Linked DNA regions of Alligator mississippiensis. The protein of the gene in region 2 interacts with the protein of the main gene of each other region in a biochemical or structural test. Links are inferred from orthologs where the notes say so. Each region holds a gene or a part of one and is shown on either strand. Other genes may lie near its edges. The genes, in order: SMURF2, SMAD1 and ACVRL1.

Region 1 (8,014 bases), on a different chromosome or scaffold from region 2:
AAGGTTGTGAAGTAGTAGCAAAGAAAGATGATCCAAAGTAGCTTCAAAATTAGGGGGATCTAATTGATTAGACAGTTTACTCATGTAGAGGAACAAGATAATTCAACAGGGAAAAGGGTCATTATTACCCTTAGAGTGAAGAGAGGTTAGCTGAGATAACAGGTAGACTGTAATGAGTTATAAAGCCATTATCTCTGCTTAGTCAATAATTTTTAGTGTTCAGTAAGCTTATGGATTTTTGTTTCCAGGCCCATCTTTCAGAGGTTAAATTTATCTATTCTCTCTCCCACCTATATTGGTCTAATAAAAAGTATCACTAAAACCTTGCCTTTCATACATATCTTGGACCATCACATCTACAATACCACCCCAACTGTATTATAATACCAATGATCTCCTGCAGAGCTAGCAAATACAGGAGGAGATAAAATGACTGTTTTCCTCAGCCCTTCCTTGTCTGTAAAACACCGAGGTGGCATCCAGGTACAGCAAGATATTATAACGAACGCTAGCTAAAGGTTAGAAAATTCATAGCAAAGCTAAAATTCAGTTCTAAAATTAAAATAGGTTAAACAAACTGGATACACCACAAGTAGTGGTTTTACATTTTGTCTTTTTTTTTTTTCAGTTTTGCAGTGGTCAGGTAATGTTGCTATATTAGCAAACTGACTCCTGTTTGCTTTATATAGCCACTTTTAGAAAGTATAATGACTTGGCCATTTCAATTTGCAACAGATTGACTTTAGTCTGACCTTCAATTATCTAGACTGAATGTCTGCTGTTTAAACCCCCCCCCCCCCCCCCCAAATGCCTTTGTGGTACTATAGCTCCATTGAATGGTTTCTAGTAATATTGTACATTAGCTGCAAAATTAGCAGACCTATTGGGACTTATTTGATACAAGGTTTGAAGTCAAGGGGGGGTGCAGAATCGAATCCAGTTTTCCCGAATCTCTTCTCCTCTGTTCTAACTCCATTTTTCAATGAGCTGCTTCTTGTTTACAGCACAGTGCATTGCTTAACGTGTCACTAGGAAGGAAGAAAGATGCATCTTTAGCCTGTATCAGCTGACAATGATTTTTGCATTATATGGTCATTGGATAGAGGTAGTCTTGGAAGCAGAGGCTGTAACTGAGGACCCTCCCTTCCCAGGTAAGTGGTTATGCTTCTTTTTCTCTGACCCAGTTCATCTTGTATACTTTTCAGAAGTTAATAGCTTCTTCAGGATAGAGAGGGCCCCACCCAGAACTGCATGGACAGGCAGTCAGGGATGTGGTTTAAATATCCTTTGGCAGCAAAGAGAACTGAATGAATCTTCCACTTCCTGGACAAGTGTTTTAACCGCAAGGCTCTAATAAGAGGGCAGCAGCAATGCTCTAAAAGAAAGTGGTGGTTTCTGCCAGTGTACGTGAGGATGCTGAAAATACCTACCCACCTAGCTCAGGGGTAGGTATGAGCTAAGCACTAGGCCCTTCTACCCTCTCAAGCCTGGGACAGTTCTGGGAATGAGCAGAAGTGCAAGCTCTAATTGCGTGGGCACTCTGACACTATAAGGCACTGTGGCATTTAATCACCGCCAGTTAGGTGAAAGAAGGGTTTTTTTTCCAGGCTCTGTCTTTTTTTTTTTTTAAGTTAGTGTTAAATTTATCCTAATATTCCATTCTGTAATGTTTTAAATCTATTGTACGATGCCAATCCTACATTGAGATCTGTTAGTGCAGACCCCCAAGCCTGTGCCGAGCCCCGTTAAATTCCAGAGAACTTCAGTATGGTTGGCAGCTAGTAACTGTTGGCCTGACATCGGGTCTGATCCAAAGCCTATGGAAGCCAATTAAAGGAATCCTATTTACTTAAATGGGCTCTGAATCAAGCTTTTCCAGAGATGCTGAGCACCTCTAAATGTCAGGCCATGAGTTATCTGAACAGACAGTTTTTAAATGTTTTTGGCACTTTCAAGTACTTTGGCCAAGTCAGACATGGAAAAAAAATGTTACTTTTATACTTCTTAGAAACTAGAATTTCTCAAGCAATTAATCAATCCAATTTTGTACTGTTTGAAAAGAGCTATTATGCATGCAAGTTTCATAACCTTTTTAATGATGCAAAGAACCAGACATCTGAAACCCTGCAAATGGAAGAGCTGCAGCATTTTTACTGAGGTCAGCGTGACCCAATGGAATTACATCAATAGCAGCATCTCGTACAATGTAGAACTTATAATTATTCCACAGATAGCACGCGAGGAGCACCCCGAGTGTAAAAACCTCTTCTTAAAGTTCTCGTGTAGTTCCCAGACACATCAAAAAGGCATGTTCAGGATCAATTTACTATGCAAGTTGTAGGCTGAATTCGATGAGGAAGAGTTGCTTCAAGGAACATATTCCCCAGAAGCATTTTGCAGTTTTTGGCAGAAATCATTGTTGTGTAGGGCATATGTACTAGCCAGCAACTTTTTGGTGTTTGTTTCTTATTTTTAATGATCACTCGATCCTCAAACCTAACAGACTGCGTGGGTTTAAATAGATATATTATTAATTCCGTTGTGGCATGATATGCTAGGCGCTCTCTAGACATATAAGGAACAGACTGTCTTTTTGTTTTGTGTTTGTAGAGCACCTACTACAAGGGTCCTGTGCTGTGACTAGTGCTCCTAAGTGCTGTGATAATACAAGTGATACTGTGGAGTGCCTCAGCAGAATGGGACCTATGTCACAAAGCCCTATTAAACTAGCTGTCTTGGAAGACGTGTCAAACATAGGCAGCGATCTCCTACTTGGCAGCAGAGGCATTGGGTGTTGGCTGCACTCAAGGCTGGCGACTTTGACTGGGCTGTGCCAACGTTCCTGCTGGGACAAAAGCTGGAGGTTCCTGGCTAGCGGGTCTTGCTCCTTCGCTCAGGGTCAGACCGATCACTATATTTGGGGTCAGGAAGGAATTTTATCTTGTGTTCAGATTGACATAGACTGTGGGGGCTTTTGCTTTCCTCTGTAGCGGGGGGCATGGCCCTCTACCCAGGATCACTTGAGCATGCATTGACAACGCTTCATAGAAGAAGGATGTTGGCTGCTGTGGTTCCTCTGCTCGGCCTGTGGCAGGTTAGGGTGCTAGGTCTGCACTGTGTCAGGGTTTGCGGTAGGGTTCAGATGATTGATTGCACAGGGTAGTTTGGATAAGGATGATCCTGCCTCAGGCAGGGGGTTGGACTAGATCAGTGTTTCCCAACCAGTGGGACTTGAAGGTCATGTAGATGGGACTTCAACTCATTGCCCGATTGAAAAAAATCAGTTGTTTGCACGTCAAATAGGTGAATCAACAGATGTCTCCAACAGTGCAATTTTGTGGGGTTTTGTTTTTATCGTGGTAGGACCAGGGTTTTTTGACCAAATGGTTGGTGGGGCATAAGGTGCAAAAGGCTGAGAACTGCTGGACTAGATGACTAGGGACCTAGTTGGACGAGGGACCTCTGGAGGTCCCTTCCAGCCCTCCTGCTCTATGATTTGGTGATCGTCTTGAAATGGACCTTTTACGATCATCCCGAAATGGACCTTTTACAAAAAGCTGAGATTTATTTCTTCTTGTTAACTTGCCTGTCTGTGCCCTGCTGCTATTGTAGTGCCCCCTGGTGCGCTACAAAGCCTGGACATTTCTGGAGTAGTTCCCGCAGCATCTGGAAGACGGAAACAAGAAGTTAAATTCGAATATAGACTTGGGATGCAAGCCGATTCTTATCTTTTTGGAGAACGGTGATGGCATATGGGAACTATCTTGGCTGAAAATGCATCTACATCGCAGATAAACAGTCTAAGCCCGAACGGCCCAATGACCATACACAGCCCTTCCTTCCCGCGATTTCCCAGCTCCTCCAACAGTCCCGCTGACCTGTGGACCTACTGAAGGAGCCAGGGACCCCTCAGTCTCCATAGGGGCACTTGCCTTTATATCGGGGCCTGTAAAACCCTTTTAATTTTGCATCTTTCCTTTTTTGAGATAGAAACCCGTGCCTCCCCATCTCCCTGTTGATTGCAAACATCTTCCTCCCATTTCTATGTCCCGGGGAAGTGCTTTATAGCCAGACCTCCCCTCCCTTCCAGCTAGGGTGGCCGTCATCGAGGACAGTCTGGTTGTCCTCTATTGATACGAAACCCGGCGCCTTTATGTCCTCTATTTTTCTCTTTGAGGTTATTTTTCAAGAGAAAAATAGAGGACATAAGGGTGTCCGGTTTCGTATCAACAGAGGACGGAGGTCAAGTGTCTGTCGTAGGGCGGCCGTCATCGAGGACAGCCCGCTCGCCCTCTCTTGATACAAAACCGGACGCCTTTATGCCCTCGATTTTCCTCTTGAAGAGCCACGTGAGATTCGCCCGTTCCTTCCCTTTCCAGCCTCAAGGAACGAGGTTGAAGTTTGGATGCGACGTTTGGTACAGAAAGGTCACAGGCGGCTGTCATCAAGGACAGCCCGGTTGTCCTCCATCCCCTATCAATACCAAGCCGGACGCCTCGACGTCCTCTCTTTCTCTCTTGAAAAATCATCTGGAAGAGAACATAATCTTCCAGAGAAAAACGGAGGACATCAAGGCATCCGGTTTCGGTATCGACGGAGGACAGAGGTCAAGCGCGGATACGACGGTCAGTACGGAAAGGTCACGGGCAGACGCCCGGTTTTCCAAAACCAATCTCGAAGAGAAAAACGGAGGACACGGAGGCGCGGGGTTTGGCACCGACAGAGGACGGAGGTTGAGTCTCTGTCATCGAGGCCAGCCCGGTCGTCCTGTCTCGATGCCGAGCCCGACGCCTTGATGTCCTCCGTTTGTCTCTTCGGGGTTATTGTCTCTTCAGGATTATTTGTCAGGAGAACAGCGGGGTGCGGGGCTGGGGGCCACACGGCTGCACCCCCTCCCCTCCCCTCCCCCACCCCGGGCAGGGCGAGGGGCAAGCGGCGGTTGACCCCGCCCCCCAGCATGGGAGGGGGCGGGACGGGGGAGGGGGAGGTGCCTCCTCCTCCTCCTCCTCCTCCTCCTCCCCGGCGCCGGCCCCGCTCATGGCGCCGCTGGGCACATCCGGGCCTCTCCTCCTCCTCCTCCGGCCGCCGCCGCTGCCCTGAGCGCCCCGCGCGACTCCATTAGGCCGGGCCCGGCGCGGGGCGCGGCGGCGACATGTCCAACCCGGGCGCGCGGAGGAACGGGCCCGTCAAGCTGCGGCTGACAGGTGAGGCGCCGGGCCGGGCCGGGCCGGGCCGGGCCTGTGGGCGGAGCGGGGCGGGGGGGGACCCGCCGCGTGAGGCGAGCCGAGCCGAGCCGAGCCGAGGGCCCGGCCCGGCGGAACTCGCCCCGAGTGCGGCGGCCTCTTTTGTCCGGGCTCCCGCCGCCTGCCCCCCACCCCCAGCCCTGTCACTTCTGCGAGTCCCGGAAAAATTATTTAAAAAAAAAAAATAATAATAATAATTTAAAAAAAAATTGTTGAATCTGAGGAAAAAAAAACCCAAAAACAAACCCCGGTTTTATTTTGTCGGCCCGTTTCGTGCAGTCAGAGCAGCCCCGCTCGCGGCCAGCTCGTGTCGCGCCGCGGCAGCCAAACTCCTCTGAACCCGACTGGGGCAAGGATTTTGCGAGCGAGGGGGTTTTTTTCCCCCCCTGAGGAGGAAGAGCGAGTCTTTTTAAAAAAAAATAACCTGGAAAAGTTTGCAGGGTGCGGGGGAACCCGTGTGTTTTATTGAGCCATTTATTTAAAACAATCCGTGGATCTCACGAAGGAGCCGGGGCGTCCTCCTCTCCTGCGTAAAGACGCCGCAGAGGATTATGAGTCTGGGCAAAAAAAATAAGCCGCGGGGCGCCGCGTAAGGAAGCCGGGCGGGCGGGCGGGCAGTCCGCAAAAGGAGTGTGCGTTTTTCGTTGTGTTGTCTTTGCGTTCGCTTTTTAACGAGCCCAGAAAGACGAGGGCAGGAGATAGGGTCTCGAACGAGCATCTTCCAGCGTTAGCAGCTGTCCGGGGAGCGACCGGAGATGTTTTGGGAAACGTCGGCTTGTCTCGGGAAGGACCATTGGAGGGGATGGAGGTATTTTGGACCGGGTCTGCTGTAACCTGGTTGAAACGTCGCGTCGCTTGTTATAAGGAAGTTGTACGCGCTTTGGGAAAGTTGTTAGAAGCACTGAATTGAATGGACGTGTTGTCAGGTCTCGCGTCTCTTCCCAGGCAAGTACTCGGTGTGGTTTTGATGGTCCTTTTCGACTGGGAAAAGCAGCGCAAGGACCCTTGAGTGCTCGCACTGACTGGAGTTAAAATGCATATGGTTTTTTTTAAAGTAGTTTACTCTTCAGATCTGCCCCATGGTGTATAATCCTAATTTTCTTTGTCTTTATGAAACTAGCAGTCTTCTGTTTTGGCTTGAACGCTTCAAGGATTCATTCGATAATCAATGTGTAATACTGACTTATTTTCTGTTTGTTATCTCTAAATGAGATGGTATAAATGAAAAAAAATGGATTTCAAGAACTGGATTCAATTAGCATTTTTTTTTTTTCAGGACATAAACATTAAAGGTTTAGATAGAAAACATAGTTTTGACTGACTGGATAAATGGCAGGGTAGTGTTTGATGCGAGTCCAAGAACTGATCTGGAGCTAATGCCCAACCTCTTGGTCCATCTCGAGGAGCCAAATAAAATATTTAACCTAGGCCTCGTTTTGCAGAAAAGGTTGATTCTTTGTTGGGACCTTAAGTGAGTTCTGAGAAATGTTTGGCATACCTTTACACTAAGTGTTTAACGGTTTATTTAGGTCTGGGTTCCAGAATAGAGGAAAAACCACTGTGGTGGCATACTTCTAGTAAGTTTGTATTTAGCTTACAGTGCATCCCGGCTGTTTCTTCTGTTGCTTTTAGCTTTATTTGTATGTCATAAGTATCCCCTAATCCCTTAATGACACACATCGGAGTCTCAGGCACAGCCCTGAGCCAGAAAGTTGCTGGATAGTAGACAGTTACAAAAATCTGCAAAAGTAGCCTGGTGAAGATTTCTCATGAGAATAATAAATGCTGGATTTCATTAAGAACGTAACCAGTATAATTCAAGCTAGTGTCAGCTCAGAAGTTGGTCATAGGTTGTGTATGTAACTGTGTTTCCCAAAGCTTTCCAGTCTTGCTACCACTTCCTCAGTTCTGTCCCTTGGACCAGTAGAGTAGACTGGGCTTCTGCAGCCATGGATGTTTTTTGCCAGTTTTATCTAGTCCTTAGAACACATTATGCTGCACTGATTTAAAGACTCCAGCTTTCCCCCCACTTCAGTTTTCTGATGTGATTTATTTTTTATTTTTGTAACTAGTCAGAACTTCCATGATTTCTTGAATGTGGAAGTGAATCTAAACTACTTGAAAACTGGCTCAAGCTGAAACTTTGAGTTTTCGGTTGGAATATACTATTACAGTAGGAATATCACAATGTTTGCTTGGAATACAGTATTAATACAGTGCAGTGTGGGTAGGGAGAATCTTTTATTCTTTGAGGACTAGACAAGCATATTGCATACAGCTGAAAAGTTGGTTTTCCAGTAGTGTCCAGTAAGTACATTTGGGCTGTAATTTATGATTTACCTTTTAAAATAGTAAATGCAGTGACTTTAAGTGCCTTTACTTAGGGATATATTTGGTAGCTATGTTGGTCTGAGACAAAAAGAAATGCAAAACTCTCTAGAACTCTTGGTTCAGAGATGATATCTTTTATTAGCCCAACTAAGAAATCGCCAAAAAAAATCTTTTTGTACTTGCGAGGAGAATATCAATCAAAATGACACCAGTAATTTTTGAAACCTAGAAAAAATCACAAAAATGTAAGTGAAATCTGTTAATTATTGTGGTATAACCTCATACATATTGGGGAAAGGTGACGGACAGACTGGATTGATCACCTTTGCATAGTCCCTTGTGGTTACTTGCCAACTTGTGTGGTATTTGTGGCATAGCATAATTGGTAAACTTTTCCAGAGAGAAAACTAGAAGTAGAATAACAGTCCCTTGTGGGTTAG
Region 2 (7,817 bases):
CTTTTATTAGAAGAAAGATCACTAGTATGCAGGAGAAAAAGATTAATGATGTTTGTCTGCTTTCTTCACTTTGTTGTTAGACTATGTAGCCACTCTGAAGAGACTGATCATTTTTTCAGGTCAGAAAATGATTAATACAATTTAGTTAAATTCCCCCACAAAATACATGCTGTTTATACAATTCTATTATTTCAGCTAATAACCATTGCAGAAAGAGGTTAACAATCAAGCTGCACATATTCACACATTTCTCTTCTTCAGGCTGTAAGTGCCAGTTTCAAATCCTCTTCGTATCTTGCAAACTGTACATATGTTGCTTTCTTTATTTAACTACTGCACCACCCATATTTGAAGCATAATGGGCTATGCCACAGACGCTTGCTTTGCTGCCCTCATAATATGGTTTAATTATGATGACTGAACTAATAGGCTCACATCACAGACTTTTACAGGTTGACCCCATGTCATCCTGATGTCTCATTTTGCACCAGTACAGTGCTGTAAATCAATTTAAGATCTCCAGCACGTTGAAAAGGCTGGTAATGATGCTTTTTCTGCAGTCTCAGGGGACTCCACATTATACACAACTTACATTATTTATAAAGCTGAGATGATGCCTCCATTAGCCTTGTAAGGCTACACAAGTGAGAGCTTTTATATATGCACACAACTTGGACTTCACAGACCCGCCTACTCTATGTTAAATATAACTGTTTCCAGATTTTTTTTTAATTGAGTTCTACATTTGTTTTTAACATGCACCTATTGACTCAGATTTTAGTACAAAAATAATAAAAAACTAGTTAGTAAAAGAAGCAGCATCAGTTTTAGCAACCTTGATATCACCTCATTATGTTATTCACTATGCCCTGATTACATAATCAGAATTCAAATGCTAGTAATTTATCAGCTCTGTGTTAATATTTGACAGTTAATATTAACACAGAAACTAGAGAACCTCAACCTTCAGTTTATCCAGTCAGTTTTTTTAAATACGTGAGATCATCAGATCTTCAAGGGTACAATAAAAATGGCAAGTAGAGAGGGAGACGAGAGAGGGGGAAAATGTATTTGATTACATACCTAGTGGAAGAAACAGTGAAAACTAAAGCAAGGACAAATCCGTTTAGGGTAACCTGAGCTTCCTTGAACTAATCCTCTCTGGAGGCGGTAGAAGGCTCCTGGATCACCCAAGTCCTGAGAAGTCCCTCTCAAACCCCTAGTTACAGTGCAAGATGAATTGCAGGATTAGAGCCTGAGCACCATCACAAGAATTCCAAAATAGGTTAAGTTTCATTTAGCATAAAGAAAGCCTGAAATCAATTACTGTAGAGGAGTCAAGAAAAAACAAAACAAAACACCAAGTACATAATATTTGTTATGCCAGCTGTGAATGGAGAATCTTATACCAACTGCCCTACACAGATCTCCAGCTCAGATGGATTTATTTTTATGCTGTCAGTTTTAACTGGAAGCAAACCTCCCATAAATTTAACGCACCATAGATGAGACTAAAATCAATTGTAACACAGCAAGTTCCTTCACACGATTCTCATTCATTGGTACAGTGAGGTGTAGGCACTTGGCCACATGAAAAACTACCATAATCAGAGACACAGGTACAGAAGAGTCGTCTCCGCAGCTTGGTGAGCCTCTTTTGAGCCCTACACTATATGATATTCAGAAGTCCCACAATACAGCTAGGTTTTACACTCAAGGAAGGAGCAAATCAAGAAAGACAGAGCTGCCAGATTTTAAGCCACAACCTGCTTGAAGCACAGCCTCTCTTTAAAATGCAATTTTCTAAAGATGTCAGATCCCCTGAATTATCCTCCAATAAACTAAGCACATGCCTAGGAGTAAAGCTGAGCAGCGATCTTTTCTATTTGTTATTGCTCTAGTTGATAAAGGGGGGGGGAGCAAGGGGAAGAAAAAAGAGGGGGGGAAATTAAAAATTAAAGGGTTGGGGGAGCACTTGATTGTCACAAGTTGCACCCATTCTCAGGCACAGCATCTATTCTCCCCCGCCCCCCAAATAAACTTAAATAAAGTCTCTGCCTACATCTAAGCAAAAAAACACTCATGTATGGTGTTAAGCAAGCTACAAAAGCCAATCCACACATTGCCTGCAGATGATAAACCAGTATCAAAGGGCAGAATACAGCAGTCTTGACTGAACCCCAGCCTCCCATCGCCTCCCCTCATCTTGCATACACGTGCATGGCTAAATCCAGCAGGATTTGCCCTGGCAAGAGTGCATGACTGACCGCTTGCATGCCCAGAAACTTGAATAAGAACCTGAGGGTGAGGCAGGGAGAGAAGATGAAGGGCTGGCAAGTCTCATCATCTTGTGAAGCACCAGCACATCAAAGGCAGAGAAGAAAAAAAAAAATAAATAAAAGATCCCAAGGAGAGAAAACCCCTCTGCATCCAGCCCTGCTGAAGGAGAAGCATTTTGTGAGTGAACTCGCCTTGACCTCGGAGCACAGATTCCTTGTGGAGGGGGGAAGGAAAGAGATGAAGGAGGAAAGAGAAAAAGCAAGAGACAACCCCCCCCCTCCAGGCCAGACGGACTAAGCTGAGGGAAAAGAGGAGAGAAAGGTTTTTCTCCCCAAATCAAAACAAAAGGAGGGCAGTGGCGCTGCCCACAACTCCCGCAACTTCCCCACAATGGGGCCAGGGCAAGAGGCGAGGCGTCCAAAGGAGGAGGAGAGGCAGCTCCCGGGCCTCCTCCCAACAAAGGCAGCTCGGCGGAAACCCGGAGCGGTGGCGGCGGGCCCTTGCAGAGGTATCCCGGCATGGCCGGGGTTGAGCAGGAGGCGAAGCGGTCAGGTGAAGTGTAGCTGCGCTCCCTCCACCCACAGCCCGCCCAGCAGCAGCGCACGCACCGCGGTTACCGGGACGGGGCGCCCCGCGCTGCTGCCTCCTCCGCGCCCGGGTCGAGCTGCGCGCGGCGGCGTCACGGAGCCGGAGCCGCCCCGGGCCCTGCACAGCAGCCGCCGCCGGCTCAGGGCTCCGCTCCCAGCTCCCGCCCCGCCGCCGGGAGGCCGGGCCAGCTTCCCCCGCCGCCCGCACAGCCGCAGGGCTGCTCCAGCCGCCGCCGAGGAAAGGCGCGAGGGAGCCTCCCTGCCTGGGGCGGGGCCGGGGCGGGGCCGGGGGCGGGGGCTGCTCCCGGCCGCGGGACGCTGCTCCGGACGGACACACGTTACGGATGTTGCGCGGGGGATCGCGCCATAAACGCGGGCGGGCTGCACACGTCTTGCGAGGGGCGCTGGTGAACTACTTGGGAATCGCTCTGCATGGGTGGCTAGTCCGTATTGAGTGTGTGATTCAGTGCATTGCATTACTGGTTATCGGATAATGGTATGGGAATTACTTTGCATGTGTGGGCAGTCTACGTTTTTTGCAAGATTCACTGGTTAACTACGTGGAAACTGCTTTGCACGGTTGGCTAGTCCATATTGATTGTGTGATTCAGTATATAACCAGTTGATGTAGAGTGCAAAGTAATGACCACACCATTAACTGGCTACTGGTAGCCAGCAATACACCGAATCAAGTAATAAACATAGACTGGCCACCCACGCAAAACAATTCCCACAGTTCAAGAGTCACTGGTTGACTTATGTAGAGTGCCCACACATGCAAATTAATGACCACACCATTTGTTGTGAGATTCGCTGGTTAACTATGTGGCAATTGCTTTGCACGGGTGGCTAGTCTTATGTTTACTGCATGATGGAGTGAATTACTGGTAACCGGTTACCAGCAATTCATGGAATCACTCAGTAAATGGAGACAAGCAAGAGAGCCACAAGTGTAAAGTAATTCCCATGCAATTAACAGGTGAATTATGCAATAAGTGCAGACCAATTGTACCACCAAAGTAATTGCCATGCCATTCTCTGGGGAAGCCCACAATAAATGTAGCTGCAAGGTCGCAGCCAATAGCAAAGGCACCACAGCGCACTTAACCAGCAAATCACAGAAAGTGCTGACTGGCTACAGCTGCAAAGCAAATTACTACTAATTAACTGGTTACTGGTTACCAGCAATTCACTGGCATAATATAAATGTAGACTACCCACACATGCACAGTAATGACTACACAGTGAGTCCCACAATAGGCGTAGACTGGGACACCTGCACAGTAATGAACACAGTTAACCAATGAATCGTGCAATAAATGCAAGCCAGCCACACATGCAAAGTAACTATCACACCATTAAATGGTAACTGGTTACCAGTAATTCACTGAATCATGCAATAAATGTAGACCAGCCACACATACAAAGCAAGTGAGCCACAATTTGAAGGGCACTGCCACACAATTAACTCATGAATTGTGCAATAAATGTAGACCAATTGTACCAGTAATTACTGTTCAACTAACCAGCAAGTCCCACAAGAAATGTAGACTGGCACACATGCAAAGCAAGATGGGCCACAAGTGCAAACTAATTACCCACAATTAACTGGTGAATCCTGCAATAAATTTAAACCTGCCACATATGCAAAAGAATTATCCCACACACTGCTGGTTACTGTTAACTGGTTACCACACAATTAACTAAATCCTGAAATAAATGTAGACCAGCCACACATACAAAGCAAGAAGGCCTGAGGTACAAAATAATTACCATTCAATTAACTGGTGAATTGCACAATAAATTGAATTCCCCCTGCAAAAAATAACACATACACACACACACACAATTAACCAGTAAATCCTGCAGTAAATGAGCAGTGTGCCCTCGTGAAAAAAGTTAACAGCATACCGGCCTGCATTAGGAGTGTTGCCAGCAGATCAAGGGAACTGATTCTTCCCCTCTATTCATGCCTAAAGAAAGGTGTTTGTGCCTAAACGCCTGTAAAGAATAATTTTTCCAACTATGTAGTTGGTCTAATAAAAGATATCAGATTTACCCAAAGAACCTTGTGCCCCTTTTTTCACCACTACTGAGGCCACATCTTGAGTACTGTGTCCATTTTTGTGCCTCCCACTACAGAAAGGATGTAAGCCAATTAGGGAGTTTAGCAGAGACGACCTACACAATGGTGAGGGAGCTGGGGCACATGATGTATGAGGAGAGGGTGAGGGAACCAGGCTTATTTAGTCTGGAGAAGAGCAGATTTGAGGGGAGGGGGGAATTTGGTAGCAGCTTTCAATTACCTGTAGGAGTACTTACAAAGAAGATGGAGCTAAACTAAATTAAACTAAGCTAAACTGAACTGTTCTCAATGGTGGCAGATGACAGAACAAGGAGCAATGGTCTCAAGTTGCAGCAAGGGAAGTTTAGGTTAGATAGTAGGAAGAATTTTTTCGCTAGGAGGGTAGTAAAACACTGGAACAAGTTACCCAGAGAGGCAGTGGAAGCTCTATCCTTGAAGGTTTTTAAGACCTGGCTAGATAAAGCTTTGGCTGGGATAATCTAGTTGGAGATAGTCCTGCTTTGAGCAGGGGGTTGGACTAACCCTACTTTTCTATGATTCTATGAAATGTGAACTACTCACATGTAAATGAGTTGGGCCACAGGTGCAAAGTAATTACCACACAATTAACTGGTGAATCCTGCAATAAACGTAGACTAGTCACACATGCAAAGTAAGACCCTGACAAGTGCAAAGTATTAACTGGTGAATTGCACAATAAATTTAAACTGGCCACACCTGCAAAGTAACTATCACACATAAAATTGACTATGCAGCTGTAAAATTAGTCAACCAGCTATAAAGTTAGTTCTTGAAAGTGTGTAAACAACTCTATTGCTGGTTTCTATTCAGCTTTAATTTGAATGTGTGGCAGGGCCCTAGATGACCTCTACTCTTGGATTCCAGGAACAGAAAGCAGCTTGGCTCATTGCTTATTGTTGCCTTGCTACCCTTAGCCTGTAGCCAGTGTCTGCTTTAAACACACTATGTGATCTAAATTGCATCAACATATACCAACTATGTACCACATAGCTACCATGTGCAGGGTATTCAGTCTCTATGAAACCATGAAAAATAACTATGATTTTCAATGTTCACTCAACAGTTTGAATTGGTATTAATCAATGAATAGGTGAGAGCCAGAAATTACACATAAACCAGTATAAGTGATTGAAAACCAGTTCAAATCTGTAACACAACAGAAGTTCAGTGTACATAAATCACTTTCAGAATGGCTGAAATTGGTTTAAGATAAACCTGGATGGATGTAATATCAGACTTAACAGGTTTAGGTTCAATCAGTTTATTGAACTTATGTACTTCTGTCTCAGATCCCCCTCCAGATTCAAGTTTAGTGTCCCAGAATCCCAGGATGCTTTGCACCTCTCCCACAACCCCCATTCCCTCCCTGCCCCCCTGGTGGGCAGGCTAGCTTTGGCCCAAGCTGTCTGCTTCAGCCAAGGAAGGAGGTCTGTTATAGCACCCCCTCCACTTCTGGCTTTGGGCACTGCAAGGACGTGTGGCTGCATTTCCAGAATCAAAAGTGAATGTCTGTTCACTTGCTTATTGGTTTAATCTACACATCTTAGATTAAGCTATGAAGATTGAATTGATTCTGTCTCTGGCTTCTTGACCATCTGTACTTAGCCATACTAGTCTGGCTGTATATAGTACTTTTCAGCCCCCACCCCTCCCCCCATGTATGTAAGATGTTTTGGACTTCAACCCAACTAAGCATTCCTTAGGGAAATATTGCTGATTCAGGCAAATTAATCCTATTACTTCAGTGGTTCTCAACCTTTTAGGGCTCAAGGCACCCCTTCAAAAGTTCCAGATGTTAGTTTTCACTTGATTTTTTGACTACAGAAAACACTACAGCAATTCTTGTGTTGCAAAGAACTCACAAAGATCACAACAGGATAGAATGCTTTTAGGAAGGGAGTATTATTTGAAATCTGTGGGTTTATTTTGTGAAATGTGTTTGTACACCAGAGAGTGCTAACATTGTGTGGCACCGCGTGGTACACTTGAAAGGATCTCAAGGCATTCCAGGTTGCTGTGGCACCTTGGCTGAGAATCAATGAACTAAACCTATTAATGCAATCAAACTTGTGTGAACGGAATCTTGCCATACTATGGTTATGAATCAAAGGAGCTCCATCTAGGTTGCAAGATTATGCTCCAGAAGCTGGAGTTGGAGCTGATTTGAGGGTCTACATGCATAAGTAATTATAGGGATTTTTCTATTGACCATGTAAGTGCATCACAAATATTATTAAACTCATGCTCCAATTCTGAAATGAATGAATGGGGACCTAAATGTGGGGTAGAAACAAAGGGGTTGTTTATATGAAGATATATTCTGGCATAGCTATATGGGGATACTTATACCTCTAGAGTTATTCTATAAATTTCCCTGTGTATATAAGCATTAGGTGTGATATTAACTTAGCTTTAAAACACAAGGGAGATAGAGGCACAGAATAGCCAAGGCTTTATAAATTACAGGAATAAATTTTACTTACTCACATATATAAAAATATTCATAAATGCCTGTAAAATAATCTCCCTAAGTCACAAAAGGAGTCTGTGGCAGAGATAGGAGTAACAGTCAAGTTTTCTAGCCCTGGACCTCTGCCTCAAGAGCATGCAACTTCCTAACTAAACTTCAGCCATCTCTTTGGTAAGCAGGCATGCTATTAGTACACCAAATATACCACCACAGTGGCAGAAGAGGGAATTTTAAGTTACTTGGTCAGCTCCCATACTAAAAAAAAAAAAAAAAAAGCACCACAGTCCCTTTAATGACATTGCAAAGCAGCCAAGGGCTTTCTATTTAAAAAACAAACAAACAACAGGACCAGCTTGATTTAAAGTTTGTATTT
Region 3 (8,034 bases), on a different chromosome or scaffold from region 2:
CCTGGGCCAAAAGGGGTGACATTTCCTTGTCTGGGACTCCTTGAACCTTGAATAAATAAATCAAGGGACCAGCTTCTCCGGTTCTCCCCAACTGTTCGAGCTCCTTTGAAGCCAAGGCAGCTCTACTGGTTTACAGGGCTGAGAATCTGGGTGAAGATAATCGGAGATAAGGTTTCCAGAGCAACCTTAATTCCATCTCTTCCACCCATGTGCCGCAGCTATTATTTATAGTGCAACAGTGTGCTAAGCATGTAGGTGTTATGTTAAGGTGCCCTGTATAATCACATAATAAGGCAGGGCAATGCAGCGCTCTCCATGGAAGATGCTTATATGAGGCGCACAGATGAACTGTGCTTCATTAGAGCTCCTTTTAAAACCAAGGTGCGCTCGGTGCTGGCCGAGGGCAGCTGTGCTCCAAGCCTGCAAGGAGACAGGGCCGGGGAGGCTGGCAGCCCTTTCGCTGCCTCTTCTTGACCTCCCGTCCCTGCTCGCTGTCTCCCCCAGACCTTGCCGCACCTTTGGGCAACCCAAACGTCACCTGTCTGCGAGGGGCTGTGCTGGGGACCGGTGTCCGAGGGAAGGCCCAGGGGACGGAAACCCCTTCTCCACCGCGCTCGCACTCCACTGCCCAGCCCTGACCCGCAGGGATCGTCTCACCCCCTGCCCTGGGCGGGAGAGGGATGTTCAGCTCCCCTCCTCCCCCTGCCACTCTCTGGGTCACAAGCCCAGCACTTCCTCTGCCATTTGCGGTTCTGGTTACTTCTGTGTTTTTGGAGCCAGGATGCAGCTCCCATGACCCAGTTCCCTATTATTTTTCCCTTGGAGTCAGTGGCCACGAAGCCCCCCCGCAAGCAATGCCGGCCGCGTGGGCGTGCATGGTGGCGCCCTGGGGTTGCTGCAGGGGGAAGAGACGACTGATCTGAGAAGGTTCCGCGCCGTGGCTCCAGGGTTGTTTCCAGGGGTGCTGAGTGGCCCCAGTCCTGCTCAGGCCCTCCACAATCAGATCCCAGGCTCTATGGACTCGATCAAAAATCCTCCCAGATCCCTAGGGGCTTTTCTGTGGACCACAGCGGGCTCTGGAGCTGCATTAGGGGATCCCGTGAAGCAGAGACATCATCTTCCTCTGGACGTTCCTGCCCTGCAGGGGTCCCGTCCAGGGCAAGCCGTGCTCCTGAGCAGGAGACAACTTAGTGCCTGGGGTCAGGGCCCGATCCGATCAGGCTGGACTTCTGTTCCTAACCTGAGTCTCCGACGGTGGCTTATTGCGCCCTGTGGGGACCTTCCTGGGAGGGCTGGGAGGGGACCAGCAGGGCAGAGCTGTGTGCTCCCAGGCTCTGTGTCCTCCTGCAAGACGGGCACGCTCAGAGAGGAGGGTGAACAGGTTTGCCGGCTAAAGAAGAAGGGGTCGAGCGGCCTCTTCCCACCCATTGCCTTGTTTTCAGTCTTTCTGGGAAATACTGATTTTCTCTGAGCCTGGACGAGAGCAGGGGAGACTTCTCCGAGCCGGCTCTTGGATGGGGCTCAGCACCCTGCAAGCTCTTTGCAAACAGAAGCAAATGGCTTCTCGAGAGCTGCCTCCATGGCATCTCCGAGCTCCTGCACTCACAGCCGCCTCTGCTCTGTGGCCAGAGGGCCAGGACCAAGCCATGTACCCCAGCCCGGGGGCCCCAGGACTGGGCAATGCCTCTGGATCCCATCCTGCCCCCCTCTGCCCCGTAGCAGGATCTGCAGCTGCCGCAAAGGCTTTTGTCCCGCGCTGACTCAGTCTGTGGAGTCACTCGGAAAGGCACAAGGAGCTTCAGGCTTTTCTGTCCCACACCAAGACTATGCCATACTATACCATGCCATGCTATGCCACGCCATGCCATGCTATGCCATATGAATTTCTATGTCCTTCATCATTTTCCTCTTTCAGTGACTTCACCCGGTCCCGGTCCATCATTCCCTACCTTTCTCCTGCAGCTTTTCACAACATCCCCACAACATTCGCTGCCCCCCCAGCCTGCCAGCAGCGTAGCTGATATCTAACGTTGTTAGATATGATCTCACCTCCTTAATGAGGGAGCGGGGTCCGAGTCTGAGCTGTGCTGCACCAGTGCAAACCCGGAGACGTCCCGCCGACTTTGCTGGAGCGAGGACCAGAGCCTGGCCCCAGCGGCCAGAAGCAATTCCAGCACTGCTGGCGGCTGCTCTGGAGCTGAGGACGGAGTTATGCACATATGTCACACATGAGCAAGCCCAGGGGATCTCCATGCGGTTCCTCCCTTGGGGTGGATGTGAGGGGCACCTCGGTAATGAAAGCCCTAGGGGATGCCATGAAACAGCACTGGGTAGCGTGCGACCCAGGGAGTGATGGAGGCTGTGGGGAGCAAATGCAGGCCCGGGCCTCACTGGTGGACACCAGGGAGCTTCAGGGATGCCAACCCTGATCTGGCCCGTCTGGATCTGAGTTTTCGCTCTGGGGCAGCAGCCTCGCACCCGCCTCAAAACCCAGTGTGCGGCGCATTCACACTCACCTGCAGGTGGTCTTCCCTCTCCTGGATGGCACTGTCTGGGGCAGGGGTGCTGCAGGGACCCCCAGCTCTGGGGGCTCTGCCCGCCTCTGCGGCCGATGGGGCTGGCGACTCTTCCCAAACGCGAGCCTCCGCCGGTAGCAGCGCCCGGGACATTCACTGGGCTCACCCCGGGCCGCTCTCCCCTGCGCTATGAGCTCCGACCTGAAGCAGCGTCATGGGGCAGCCCCCTTCCTCCTTGTCCCCTCCTGGCGTTGCAGACGGGAAGCGGGCAGGGCAGGGTAGCGGGCTGGCTTTGGTGTCCCGCCAGCCGCAGCTGGGGAGTGGGGTGGTGCGCCTGGACTGCCTTTCCCAGCCCCAGGGGGTCCGGCCTCCGTCCCCGTGTCCGAGCGCGGCTGCTTGGCAAGCTCTCTGAGCCCTGGATGTGGGAGAAGTCAAAAAATGTTTCTTATTACTGCCTCTTCCTGCCTGGCTTGTCTCCACCACTCCCAGCTAATAAAGCATTTCCTATTGCTGAGCACAGATCCCGTCCAGGCTGCCTTCCTCCCGCACACACCGGGCCCCAACTCCATCCTGACTATGCCCCGGCTTCCTGGGCCTCCCTCCCTGTCCTGCCATAGGCTTGGCATGGGATGGGCGGGTGGATTTCCCTTGCTTCATTTTCAGACCCAGACCAGCCACTTGGACAAAGGCAAGCACATCCAGTCTCTTGAAGGAGCAGATGGGGCGCAGGGGACTATGGCTTTGGCAGAGACAAACCGCCCTCCCCTCTTGCACCCGCGCTGGCTCCTGGGCTTGCAGCACTGAGGGGCCCCATGCTGCAGGGGATGATGCAGAGCCACGCTCCCAGGGCCCCGGGGTGCAATGGGATGTGCTGAGCTTCAGCAGTGGGGCAGAGGCTCTACAGTGCCCCGGCATGGCCTTGCTCCTGTGCCGTGGACTGCAAGGGTCCTACGTGGGTGCCAAGAGGGCTGGGTAGGTCCGTCACACTCCGTGCCCCTCGCCAGCCCCAGCACCACCTTTGCCAGAGTCCGGGTATTAAACCCAGTGTCCTCTCGGAGGAAGGAAGCACTCCCCGCCTCCCCCCAGATGTGCCGTGGGCTTTGTGGCGGAGCTGCGGCCTGGGAACCGCGGACAGGGGCTGCCTGGGCCCGGAGACGCCGCTTCCCCTTTCCATGTTTGAGTCACGATTGTGGGTCAATTGGTGTCTTCCCCATCTTGGCCTCCTGTTCCTCTTCCTTGCTCGCACTCGAGAGCCCCGGTCCTGGCTTCAGCCATCCCGGCTGTACCTCCCTGGCCCCTAGCCCCCAGCAGCAGGGTAAAGAGGGCGGCAACAGCAAAGTGGGCATCACGCTGTGCGGGGGAATGAGGTCACTAGGACGAGCCCCACGTGCGCACTAAGTCACGCTTCGAAGAGCAGCCCAAGCCTTGATGCTGCCTGGACCCTCCCCGCGCAGCGCGAGGTGCAACCATTTACCCTCAAGTCCTGGACCCCTCTCCTTGATGCATTACCCCTCAGCCATCCCTAGGGCTAGGAAGGGAAGCCAGCAGTCTGCCCCCACCATCATCTGCTGTAGCTACTACCCAGCCCTCCCAAACAGAGCAGGGAACAGAGCCCGGGAGTCTGGACTCTCCCACGGGCAAATGCCCCCTTCTCACCGGAGCCCTGGCACAGCACGGCCGGCCCCGCACTTCTCCTCTCTCTTGCGGATTGCTTCAGACTTAGACTTAAAAAGCGAACAACAGGAAGCACCACCAATGGCTCCATGCAAGCCTTGTCCGTGAAAGATGCTTGTATATTTTAGCAACCGGGAGATTTCCGGCCAACGGCAGGTTCAAGGGTGGGGCAGCAGGGGTAGGAATCTCATGGCTCTGTGGGATGGGAAACGGGCAGCTTCAATCTGATTAGGGAAGGACCGGCTGCCATGCCGCCAGGGGAGGAAGTCTGCGCCCGCCCTCGCAGACACGTTATCGCTCTCACCATCTCTGCTCCAGTCCCGACTGTCTGACACCGGGCCACCCTCCCACTGCCATTTCTGGACAGCTCACGTGTCACAGGAGCCCGTGCAAGGGACCGGGCATGTGGCCTTGGCTTAGGGCCGTGGCTTTCAACCTCGTTAGACTCGAGGCCCCGTCAGAAAACGCCAGGTCCGAGCTTCCGCTCCTGTTTAGGCTACAGACAAAGAACAAAACCACTCTTTTGCTGCAAAGACCTAGAAAGGCCCCAACAGGACTGAAGGGTTTGAGAGCTCAGGATTCCTCTGGGCACCCTTGAAAGGATCTCACAGCGCCCAGCAGGCTGTGAAGCCCGGTTGAGAATCACTGGCTTAGGGGCGCGGAGATGACCAAGAGCGTTCGCCCAGCTACAGCGGCAGGCTTGGGGCCAGCAGGCCCGAAGGGAGCGGGGTGGAAAGGCTGCGACTGCCCAAATGTTGCCTCGCAGCAGGCCAGTCTCTACCCAGAGCCAGCACCTCCTTCCTCCCCAGCCACATGCTGCAGCTGACCCTCCTCCCACACACGCGGCCAGAGCAGAGAGAGGATGTCGGCTCTTCTGTTCGTCCCGCTGCTCTATTTTTTAACAAGGACGGGCTGGGGGCGGGGATTTCCCTGTTCTTGATTGGAGGGCTAAGCAGAAAGAAGACTTTTCCCAAGGAGCCCCCAGGCTGGAGGAGTCGGCAGGCTTTTTTTTTTGGACATTTTTTTGTGCACCAGGTCAAACGAGTTCCAAATCCTTGGAATCAGCCAAAAGTCTTACATGGCCCGACCATCGGCAAGTATCCTCCACCAGGCTGCAGGCTTGCAGGGACTATGGCCAGCGGCAGGCAGTCAGGAGTGACTGCAGGCTGCCTGGGAGCCCTGGGCCAGCTGCAGAGGATGATTAGGTGGCCATAGGAGGGCTCCTAGGGAGAGGAGCTGGGGGTGGAGGCTGAAAGAAGGGGAGGGGGTTTGGTTAGCGAGGGCAGAACTGAGCCAAGGACTCTCCCAGGGTCTGGCAAAAGACCTGGAGGCAGCAGCACCACGAGGCCGGGAGAGGGAATTCGCCCAGGAGAGAGAAGGAAAACTGCGCGGCGGCACTGGGGGAGCAGCACGAAGCCAGCAGCTGGTTCTCGGGGTCAGGGCAGAGGCCTCGGGACTGTGAGTTGCCCTGTGTGGGCTGTGTTTTGAGGACTGGCGTACACTGATTTCTGTGCAGCAGGGTTGCCTGGGAATAAATGTGGGGTGAGAGAGTTAAGCAGACTGTCGAGCTAAGCATTGACCCCAAACCCGCTCCACCCCCCGTCTGGCGTGCAGTTCCCAATGGGAAGTCGGCACGTAGGGAGGGAGCCGGCAAGGTCCGGACTTCACAGAAAGGACAAAACTAGCCAGGGGGGCCAATGCACCCAGGGCATCTCCCAGACACCCCACTGTGACTCCTCATGACCTCCACTGGACCATGGGGACACCAAGTCGCAGAAGGGGGTTGCTTAGTTCACTGGCAGCAGAACAAGGCCTCGCTTTCAACCTGCTGCTTTCAATCCCTTGCGATTACGTTCAGGGGTGCAACCCGAGCCCCGGGGTTTGGCTCTTGGGGTCCCTGCTCAGACCTGTGAGCAGCCAGGCTGGGCCCAGCAGCAAAGTCCAGGTACCTCCACCCTGCCGAGGCTGACCTCAGGAGATGCCCACCACCGCTGTGGGGTGCAAAAACGCCATGGGGAAAGCACAGGGCATCTGCAGTAGCCTCCCTAGGACAGGGACATTGGTCTTCTTCCAGAAACAGCCCCTCCTGAGTGCTTAGCGGTGACTGCTGGAGAGACTGCGAGGCTTGAAAGAAGTCGGGGGCAGCTAGAATCGGGGCAAAACGGATCCCCCAGCCCCCAAGCAGCCTGTTCCCGCCGGCGCCTTGCTCCCCCGCCCCCACCGTTGGAACGCGCCTGGCACTGCATGTGCGGAGCGCCGGCTCCCCTGCTCCATGTGCTGCCCGCCCCCAGTTCAGATGTGTGCCGAGCCGGCGAGCTGGCACCAGCAGCAAGCCATGCGTGGAGGAAATGAGAAGCGATGGGCTGGCCGGGGGCATGCAGAAGCACCTTCCCCTGGGCACCCTGTGCCTTGCACAAAGCCCCGGACACCCCTGTGAATTGGCCACAGGCATCTTGGGTGGCCTGAGGGCCAGGGCAGCAGGAGGTGGTCCTCAGGCCACCAGGCTCCTGAATTCGGCCACCCCTCCCTGCAGCGCCAGACCAGGCTGAGTCCCCTACTGAGCGCCAGCCCCCCTCCCTGTGTCTGGATGCTGGCCTGGCCTCACTGGCTCCAAGCTGAGCCAGGCGCTGTGACCGGGGACCTGCAAAGTGTCCACGCAGGCAACAATGGGCCTGGGGGGCAGTGCCCCCCATGACAGGAGCCAGCAGTGACAGCAGTCAATGCCTGCCTCCAAAGCATGGGGGGCAAACTGTGGGTGGGCTCGGGGCACTGCCCCTCTTCTCCCATGTCTACCTCTCCTCCGGCCATGGAGATCAAAGGGCTCTGGGACTTCATTCCTTATTTGCTTGGCCGGGGGATGCAGCAGCCCGGCTTTCCTGGGCCGCAGGGCTTCCCTGCTGGCCGCAGCCCCGGTGTCACCTTGAGCAGAAGGAGCTTTGCAGCCTGTCTGCATCACCTGGAAAGGCCTCAAGTGGCTCCAGCTGCCGGGCCGACAGGTGTGTGGACAGCTCAAACATGTTGTGAACGCAGCCTGGCAGGTGAGGCAAGGCGTGTTGGAGCCGGCAGTGAGACGCCATCTCGGCACAGCCTGCAGCGCTGCCAGGGACTGTGCCAGCAGGCCTGCCAGGCTCCAGCACCCGGGGTGGGGAGCAGGGTGCTGGGTGGTTATGGCAGGGAGTCGAGGAGCCCGGGATGTTCCCAGAGCAACAGTGAGAGCATCGCATCCCGTGGGCACAGGGCATTGCACGTGGGGCACAGGGTCGGGACTCCTGGGTTGTGTTGTGCACGGAGCTGCCACGTGACTTGGCATGGCTGATGTGGCTGGGGCTGTCCCTGCTCCGTCTGTGCTGGTGGGGAGGGGAGGTCTGCAGTTCTGGGCAGTGAGTGTGACTGACCACAGGTTTCCCGGGGCAGGAACCGTCCCTCTTCTCCGCAGCGGGGGGCCGTGGGGTATCTGTCTAGGGCTCGCTGAATCTCCTCTGCTCTGCTGCCTCTGGCTTGGATGGTGGTGGCTGGTTCATTTGCATTGAGCTGTTGGGGGCTACTGCAGCTGGGGGGATCCTCTCCTCTCCACCTGTGGCCAGGCCTGCCCTCCCCATGCCCCTGGGCTGGCTGGGGTAACCCACATGGCATTCCTATCCTGTGGCTGCAGGGCACTGCTCATGGGGGACTGTGCCCAGACATGTCCCCTCCTCTTGCAGCCCCACAGCAGGAGCTGGCCCCATGTCTTGGCCCTGGCCCAAGGGGCACAGTGAGTGCCCTGCAAGCATGGCTTGCCCACCTCCTTGGGCTGTGGGGTCCAGGGACAGGAGTGGGTCTGGGTCATGGATGCGGAAGCAACCCA

The links.
Region 1: the proteins of SMAD1 (region 2) and SMURF2 form a complex in vitro, tested with the Homo sapiens proteins (2 studies listed by BioGRID and IntAct, with this or other methods). The link is inferred for Alligator mississippiensis from reciprocal best matches to the Homo sapiens genes SMAD1 and SMURF2.
Region 3: of the proteins of SMAD1 (region 2) and ACVRL1, one has a biochemical effect on the other in vitro, tested with the Homo sapiens proteins (2 studies listed by BioGRID). The link is inferred for Alligator mississippiensis from reciprocal best matches to the Homo sapiens genes SMAD1 and ACVRL1.

The regions. Positions count from the first base shown.
Region 1 is NC_081831.1:6,313,955-6,321,968, forward strand, and holds the start of SMURF2 (E3 ubiquitin-protein ligase SMURF2), read left to right. Parts: upstream 1-5,010; 5' UTR 5,011-5,152; coding exon 5,153-5,204; intron 5,205-8,014. UniProt on the Homo sapiens protein: E3 ubiquitin-protein ligase which accepts ubiquitin from an E2 ubiquitin-conjugating enzyme in the form of a thioester and then directly transfers the ubiquitin to targeted substrates.
Region 2 is NC_081825.1:101,104,949-101,112,765, forward strand, and holds the start of SMAD1 (mothers against decapentaplegic homolog 1), read right to left. Parts: upstream 3,092-7,817; 5' UTR 2,898-3,091; exon of another isoform or gene 2,889-2,897; intron 2,725-2,888; exon of another isoform or gene 2,299-2,724; intron 1,194-2,298; exon of another isoform or gene 1,084-1,193; intron 1-1,083. UniProt on the Homo sapiens protein: Transcriptional modulator that plays a role in various cellular processes, including embryonic development, cell differentiation, and tissue homeostasis.
Region 3 is NC_081838.1:6,394,065-6,402,098, reverse strand, and holds the start of ACVRL1 (serine/threonine-protein kinase receptor R3), read right to left. Parts: upstream 3,037-8,034; 5' UTR 2,517-3,036; intron 2,198-2,516; 5' UTR 2,050-2,197; intron 1-2,049. UniProt on the Homo sapiens protein: Type I receptor for TGF-beta family ligands BMP9/GDF2 and BMP10 and important regulator of normal blood vessel development. On ligand binding, forms a receptor complex consisting of two type II and two type I transmembrane serine/threonine kinases.